Macaca mulatta: one gene and its partner. Each later gene encodes a partner of the first gene's protein in a complex. Links are inferred from orthologs where the notes say so. Each region holds a gene or a part of one and is shown on either strand. Other genes may lie near its edges.

The links.
Region 2: the proteins of BBS4 (region 1) and BBIP1 are in contact, whole or in part, in a cryo-EM structure (PDB 6VBV), measured with the Bos taurus proteins. The link is inferred for Macaca mulatta from reciprocal best matches to the Homo sapiens genes BBS4 and BBIP1. Residues at the interface, in NP_001069424.1 of Bos taurus: Leu210, Leu213, Tyr236, Leu240, Ala241, Ser244, Gln247, Thr248, Ser269, Pro271, Asn274, Asn275, Met278, Phe281, Gly282, Lys284, Tyr298, Leu299, Pro301, Leu302, Asp303, Trp304, Lys305, Ile306, Tyr308, Asn309, Leu312, Leu315, Thr316, Gln318; in XP_003587939.1 of Bos taurus: Met7, Phe8, Arg9, Glu10, Val11, Leu12, Pro13, Lys14, Gln15, Gly16, Gln17, Leu18, Tyr19, Val20, Glu21, Asp22, Leu28, Lys30, Pro31.

Annotation. Positions count from the first base shown.
Region 1 is NC_133412.1:50,453,379-50,457,025, forward strand, and holds part of BBS4 (BBSome complex member BBS4), read left to right. Parts: intron 1-70; coding exon 71-139; intron 140-1,435; coding exon 1,436-1,588; intron 1,589-1,684; coding exon 1,685-1,856; intron 1,857-3,647.
Region 2 is NC_133414.1:123,099,989-123,104,249, forward strand, and holds the start of BBIP1 (BBSome-interacting protein 1), read right to left. Parts: upstream 2,881-4,261; 5' UTR 2,537-2,880; intron 1,961-2,536; exon of another isoform or gene 1,895-1,960; 5' UTR 1,839-1,894; coding exon 1,802-1,838; exon of another isoform or gene 1,484-1,801; intron 1,405-1,483; exon of another isoform or gene 1,212-1,404; intron 642-1,211; exon of another isoform or gene 578-641; intron 1-577.

The DNA.
Region 1 (3,647 bases):
TGGTCTGGCCAGACTCTTAACTGCCATCTCCTTGCTGATGTAAATTGTCTTGTTTGCTTTTTTTTCCAAGCTCGGCATTTACCAGAAGGCATTTGAACATCTTGGCAATGCACTGACTTATGACCCTACCAACTACAAGGTACTACAGACTGTGAAGGCTCTGGCCTTCAGATAGATGGTCCCACTGCTCCTAGAGGTGATCTGACCCTGGAAAGCAAAGGAATAGCTTCTTAAATTTGGATACCTGAGAAATAGAAAAAATACAAATATAAGGTGGTTCTTCTTATTTGAAAGTATTGTCAAGTATGCTCTACTTATCTTCTAAAAGTGCACATTTGTTACAATAGACGTGTAACCCCTGCAGAAAGCAGAATCATAGTGCTAGTAAAGCTTGTGTGTTAGGAAATTAGCAATGCCTCCACAACTATTGTCAAAAATAAATCTGCTGGGCATGGTGGCTTATGCCTGTAATCCCAGCACTTTGGAATGCTGAGGCAGGAGGATCGCTTGAGGCCAGGAGTTCAAGACCAGGCTTGGCAACGTAGTGAGACCCCCATCTCTACAAAAAAAAATTATTATTCAGGCATGGTGGCACACACCTGTAGTCCTAGATACTCAGAAGTTGGAAGAGGGAAGATCACTTGAGCCCAGGAGTTTGAGGATACAGTAGGCTATGATGGCACCACTGTACTCCAGCCTGCGTGACAGAGTGAGACCCTGTCTCTAAAAGGCAACAATAATCATGTTGAAATGACTTCTAGAATCTTAATGATTTGATATTACAACTTTTGTCTAGATGTGACTTGGGGAATGAGAAGGAATAGCATCAAATGGATGAGTATCATTGAGGAGATGCAGCAAGACAAGCTGTTTATAGAAGGATACAAACAGAGTTCTGATTTAGGAAGTAATATTAGCCTCTCAGCTCCCACCTTGATACCTTTCCTTAGAGAAATGAAAGGGCTGGGCCGACGAAGCCTAAAGCTGACTCACCCTCTGTTCTATGGTAGAAAGAAATATACCTTAAGTAGCCACGTACAGGTGTATTTCAGGTGTCTAGAATACTTGGTGTACCGGGCTGCAGAGAACAGATTAAAGGAAGTTAAAATTAATCAAAAGGTTCTGGTATTCATTCTGAAATACTGACTTTCCTGGCTAGAAGTAGGAAACAGATGGGTAAAGCAAGTAAAATTTTATCTTTTTTTTTTCTTTTTGTTTTTTTGTGCTGTGCCAGAGAGAGCCACAGTGTAGGGTGCAAGGGCATTCCTCAGGAACATTTGTCCCAATAGCTTGGATATATTATTTATGTCCCTGGAAGAAATTTTTCAGTCCCATCTGTGCTGATGGGCCTGCTGAGTATAGACTCAGGAAGGCTGCCTCACTGCTACAGCCTTTTGGGAATGACTGAATTACTTTCTATGTGCCATGTTTTCAGGCCATCTTGGCAGCAGGCAGCATGATGCAGACCCACGGGGACTTTGATGTTGCCCTCACCAAATACAGAGTTGTGGCTTGTGCTGTTCCAGAAAGTCCTCCACTCTGGAATAACATTGGAATGTGTTTCTTTGGCAAGAAGAAATATGTGGCGGTGAGTGTCCCCTCATGTTCTTTGTTCGCATTCATATATGTAGTTATTGGTCTGTTTAGCTTGCCCCACTCATTGAGTGCCCCTTCTCTCTCATAGGCCATCAGCTGCCTGAAACGAGCCAACTACTTGGCACCCTTCGATTGGAAGATTCTGTATAATTTGGGCCTTGTCCATCTGACTATGCAGCAGTATGCATCAGCTTTTCATTTTCTCAGTGCAGCCATCAACTTCCAGCCAAAGATGGGGGAGCTCTACATGCTCTTGGCAGGTAAGAAACATTTATGTGGAAAACTCTCTCTGCCATCTGTAATGAGGGAAAAATGGATTAGAATCATGGAAGATCAGTGGCTGTCTCATAGGAGCCATTCCCTTAGAGATCCTATAGGAATCTGGATTACTGTCCTGGAGCTTGAAGAAATAGATAAAAGATGACAAAAGAACTTGGTTGTTTCTCACTTGGGGGAGTTTCACTCAGAGACCAACAGGTTAAATAAAGATCATCCCTAGTTCACCTTTTACCAATTTTTTCCTCTTGCCTTGACAATTCATTTTTATATATATTGAGTCCAACTAAGTTCCAGATAGGAAGTGTTAAGAGCTTGGGGTCTAGGTGGGGTCCTGCCTCTACTACTTATTATATGTACCTAGGGCTGATGTGAGGATTGCATGATTAAGCACTCAATTCATAATACTGGTTTTGTTGAAATACTGATTTTTGAAAACTTGGTTTTACTGTGGTTATATAATTGGTCTATTATTATCAATATTGTTGTTACTATAATTGGCCCCTAGGTGGTACTTCTAAGTCAAGCTACCTTATGTTTAAACCCTTATCTCTTCTAAGCATGTTATATAGAATGCTGTTCTCTTCCTGAAACTCATTTTATGCCATGCAAATACTAAAATTATCATAAAAATAAGTTAAAATTAAACACTAAAAATTATGCACAACCATTTTAATTTTAAAGTACTGACTAAATAGTCTTCCTAGGAAATTTTTTCTCCATATACATTTACTTACTAAATATAAGACCCAAAGCAGATTTCTATGTCCTCATTTGGCAGTGGTCTTCCAGTGGCTTTTTGTTTATTATTGTGGGGTTCTTACTCAGAAAGCTTGCAAAAGCAATTGAGTCATGGTTATTTGAGGGTTGCCTGAATACAAAGATAACTGCTTTAAAAAAACAACAACATAGGTTTTATTATTATTATTATTCAGATATGGTATGGGCAACAGATCAGAAGACATCTGCCACTGGAAAGATAGTCTGTTACAATTCCTGAGAAGGAGGGCATGCCACACCATGCAGGGCCACATGGGGAAGCACCAGGTCAATCAGAAGGTGGAGGGAGCAAGGGGTAAATGTGGGCACGATTCTTTATTATAGTTTTCATGGGTAGAAATCCCCATACCCAATAGTTATTTTTTTTCTGGCCCTCCCTGCTCCTCCAATAAGCTCCGGTGTCTGTTTCCCTCTCTGTTTCCATGTGTTCTCATCATTTAGCTCTTACAGTGAGAACAGGATTTGGTTTTCTGTCCTGCATTAGTTAAGCTAAGGATGATGGCCTCCAGCTCCATCTATGTTGCTGCAAAGGACATGATCTTGTTCTTTTGTATGACTGTGTAGTATTCCATGGTGTACATTTACATTTTGTTTATCCAGAATGGGCATTTAGGTTGATTTTACATCTTTGCTATTGTGAATAGTGCTGCATTGAACACACAAATGCATGTGTCTTTACAGCAGAATGATTTATATTTCTTTGGGCATATACCCAGTAATGGGATTGCTGGGTTGAATGGTAGATCTGTTTTTAGCTCTTGGGGGAATTGCCACACTGCTTTCCACAATGGTTGAACTAATTACACTCCCATCAACAGTGTATAAGCATTCCCTTTTCTCTGCAGCCTCACCAGGATGTTACCTTTTGAGTTTTTAATAATAGCCATTCTGACTGGTGTGAAATGGTTATCTCATTGTGGTTTTGATTTGCATTTCTCTAATCAGTGATACTGAGCTTTTTTTCATATGCTTGTTGGCTGCATGTATGTCTTCTT
Region 2 (4,261 bases), on another chromosome or scaffold:
TTCCTTTCACTTATCTTTCATAATCAAATATAAGTCTAGGCTAGGAGTATATGAGGTTGGCAGTCTTGAGAATTTTCCTTTTGTGATTATGAAGTAAATTCCACAAACACTTATCTATCCATTAGACAGAGGATGTATCTAATGTACTAAGTATAATCTTGATTTTGTAATTTTTAATAGGCTCTGCTTAATGCTACCAAAAAGCTATCACAAAAACACCAGGACCAATTAAGACTTGCATGAGAATTTCAGTGAGAAAAATAACAATGCCTAAATTGGAATGTGACCAGATGGCCAACAGTTGCCTTGGTATTTGCTTTGATAACATCAAGATTCATCTGTATTTGAATAGCAGGGCCCACACATCTTCCAACAATGTCTGCAGGGTGCCAGGAGTTGAAACTCATAAACTATGCTGACATCAGTACACTTTACTGCAGAAATACATTGCATCAGTTCCAAGAATAGGCAAAGTAGCAGCAACACTTTATTAAAGGTAGTCAGTCTATGTTGCCAACCCAAGGCACTAACACATACTCTATACACACATGATTAAATGCTACCCTCCTCTTTGTAGGACACCGGAGAGGGGTAAGCATGCTGAGAAGTGAGATGGATTTAACCAGCAAATCATGGAAAAGGTGCGTATACTTGGCGTTTGAGAAGGCTTAGTCATGACTGGAAAAGTATGAACACTGTGACATATCCTTGCAAAAAAAAAAAAATGTTCAACTTAAGCCTCTAGACTAATTTCTGGTTTACAAGAAGAAAAAAGGGGGGCCCATTTCCAAAAAGACTCCTGGCTTGAACTCTTCAAAATGCCAATGTCACAGGGGGAAAAAGATGGGGGAACTCCACTACATTAAAGCTGAAGAAAAATTTTGACTGGATCCTGATTTCTTTTTTTTGCAAGAATGGGAAGGAGAAGGTATAAAGGATATTCCTGGGTAAATTAGGAAAATTAGCACTTGGGCTAGATTTTAAACATTACAAAACAGCTGTAATAATGATATTGTGTTTTGCTAGAGAACTTCAAAATTCTCAGGAAATTCATGCTCAAAGTCTTAAGGGTGTCTGCCTAACAATAAGTGTCTGCAACTTTTTACAACAATGAAAAAATGAGGAGGAATGAAAAAAATATGGCAAAATGTTAACTGCTGCATCTAGATGACGGGTATATGAATATTCATTAAATTATTTAATTCTTTCAGCTTTTAAATATATGAACACTTTCATAATAAAACATTGGGGAAAAAAATCATGTCAGAAAGACTTCACAGGGGAAACGTCAAAAAAGGCTGAGTAGCAGGCGCTCAGTTGAATTTCTGATAAATTGAAGATCTCTAAAACTTGGCTGGAACTGTCTTGGGCATCCAAGAGACACCCGAGATATTCAAACTTTCAGTAAGTATTTACCAAAATAATATCATGTGCAGGGTGAAAATGACAGGAAGACGAATCTGATACAAACCATTCTATTTAGGTGCAGACATGGTAGTGAAGTTAAAAACATAAGCGGCTATTATATATATATAACATACTGATTGTCATAAAAGACGTGCAAAAAATGCTAAACTCAGAGGAATTACTTTCTGCTGGGGAGAATCTGGAAACACATCTCCGCGAATAACAGAATCAGACAGAATCACAAAAGGTGAGTGCTACAACAGATTTCAGTAATTAACCGCCAAGAAACAAGAGTAGTTCATTTTGGCTGGCGTGTAAGTACCAGGGAAGTAGAAATTAAGTCGAGAAGGTAGGTTTTGTTGACTGGCTGGATATTAACAATTTTCAATTTTACCTGAAAGTTCTGGTCTTTTTGCTGCAGCTTTAAGCATCCAACCCGGTATTACCAAGATGACTGAGAGTTCTTGACTCAAGCATACAGAAGAAACTACAAGATAATGTATGATAACTTTGTAAAGGGCCATATTAAAGCAATACAGTATTTTCAAAAATATTCAACACGTTAAGAATCTGTAGACCTGCAGGATTAGGATAGTATATCCCACCACAAGAACCGCAGTCAAAGCTTACAAAGGACAAACGCGGAAAGGGGGGAAAACTCAGAATGAGAAGGCAGGTGGCAGGGGAAAAAGACAGAGGTCTTGCCCTGATTGTAGGGGCTCATCTTTTTCTTTTATAGCTGAAGGTGGAAAATTATTTTCTCAAGTTCCCGAATTCTCTTCCCTCTAAAGGCCAGAGAGTGAAAGTACTTAATAGGAACTTGCGGAGGCGTGGTCAGGAGCTCCATTTTGCCGGAGTTAGGAGCTCCGCCCGAGGTCCGCGCCCATTCCCCGCTGGGGCCCTCCCAGCCAGCCTGGCTCTGGCTGGGCTAGGGCGGCCTGTAGCGCTGCCTCACCCCACAGGGAGCCTCAGGGGGGCGGAGGGAGGGCGGGCCGCCGCTAGGCCAGCCCGGAAAGAAAAGCAGCTTCTAACGGAAGGGGCCCTGAGCCCCGCTCTCCATTTCAGCGCTCCGTCCCACAGGGACCGTCCGGCTCGGGTCCGGCCCACTTGTTGGGGCCCAGGGACTCACCTCACTTTGCAACTGAGGTCAAGAATGGGCATTCCCTAGGGCACGGGCGGCGAGGCTATTTACCCCCTTACCCCCTTCCGCCATGACCCTATTCGGAAGTGCCAAATGCAACTTCCGGGCAGGAGAGGGATTTTCGGAGCCCTAAACTATAGTCCATCTACGTATGTGACCAGATGTCTCAGTAAAATAAGGGCCGGGAAACTGGACGTGTAGTCCAGAGTATGAATTAACTTGTCTAACATGGGATGTCTGGTCACCCACGGTACCTCTTTGGGCTTACTTACAGATGCATCCCTTCCCAGACTGCTCAGCTGTTGCCCCGGGTAACGGTGAGACTGGCGAAGGAAAAAAATCTACGTCACCCTGGAAACAGGAAGCCAGGAAACTCCTGTTGCCATTATCAGTTATGGCCGCCTTAGCTTCAACAGTAACTTCCGATCGGAGAGTTGTCACTCTACCCTGCAGGAGGCTTACTCTGTAGCCCGGCTAGCCAGCGGCGCCCAGTGGGCGGGAGACGGCGTAGAGGAACTGAGGAAAGGAAAAGGGCGGAGAGAGAGAAGCAGGCGCCACTGCCCTTCTCTGATTGGGCAGCTTCGCTTGCCCCGGCTCCGCCCATTTTTCTTGCCTAGCGAGTGACGGGCCCACGCCGGAGGGGTGGGGCGGGGAGGCTGGAGCGAGAGTAGTGGAGGGGCGGGTGGGGCGGGGCGAGTGGGGGAGGGGCGGGCGGGGGGCGGCGGTTGGGCAGCGTCGCTTCTTAGGAGGAGGAGGAGGAAGAGGAGGAAGCAGGGCGAGCGAGGAGGATGGCGGAGTCGGGGCTCCTGACGGTAACCCGGGGCCGATGAGGCGGAGGGTGTCTGTGGGTCGGTTCTTCCTGCCTGCCTTCCTGTCCGTCGGGCTGTCGGGCTGGCTGTCGGTAGGGGGAGGCCCCGCGCGCCCTGACAGGCGCGAGCCGGCAACGCCGGGGCGAGGCCCGAGGGGCCGGGGCCCTGGGAGGCGCCGCCGCCGCCGCTTTCCTGGGTGCTGTCTCCGGGAGTGCGGGGCCCTCGGAGCCTGCTCGCGTGGGAGCCCGCAGCTCGGCGCGGAGAGGAAGGCGGTCGGGTCTGACAGCGGCCGGGGCCGGGCCTGCGGCGGCGGCGGGCGGCCAGGACAGCGCCTGGGCGAGGGCGAGCCGGCGCGAGGGCGCGGGCCGGGGGCGCCCGGCGGACAGTCTCGCTCTTCTCGGTTCCCGGGGGGCCCGGGCCCAGTCCGCAGGGCGCCCAAGTCGTGTAAATCGTTGGCGAGGGCCCGGGCGCAGCGGCGGTCATACAGGGTGGGGTCTCTTCGCGCCCCCTCCCTAGAGCCCACCTTGCTTTCCCGTTCTCCTCTCCCTGAAAACCCTTTGAGTGAAGAGTGCTGGATCGGCTCTGGGTGTGTTGCCTGGCGAAGCGAGTTGTAGCCCTTCGAGACCGCCTCGTAGAACATGCCGGATGGCAACCTCTCCCCGTGATAGCACAGCTTTTAGGGAGAGAGGAAAAGTAGTCTCACTCTCCCCCGACTCCCCCAGGCTTATAACGCAAGAGGCTTCGGGGCAAGACGATTTTTTCCCCCAGCCCCTCAGTATCCATTGTTTTTGTACCATCCCCCTCCCCCCATGCCTAGGTGGAAGAGTAATGACTCCAAAGCATTAATTTGCCTTTCTTTCTCTTTATTTCTTTTCTTTCTTTTTCCTCTTTCTTTGTTTTTCTC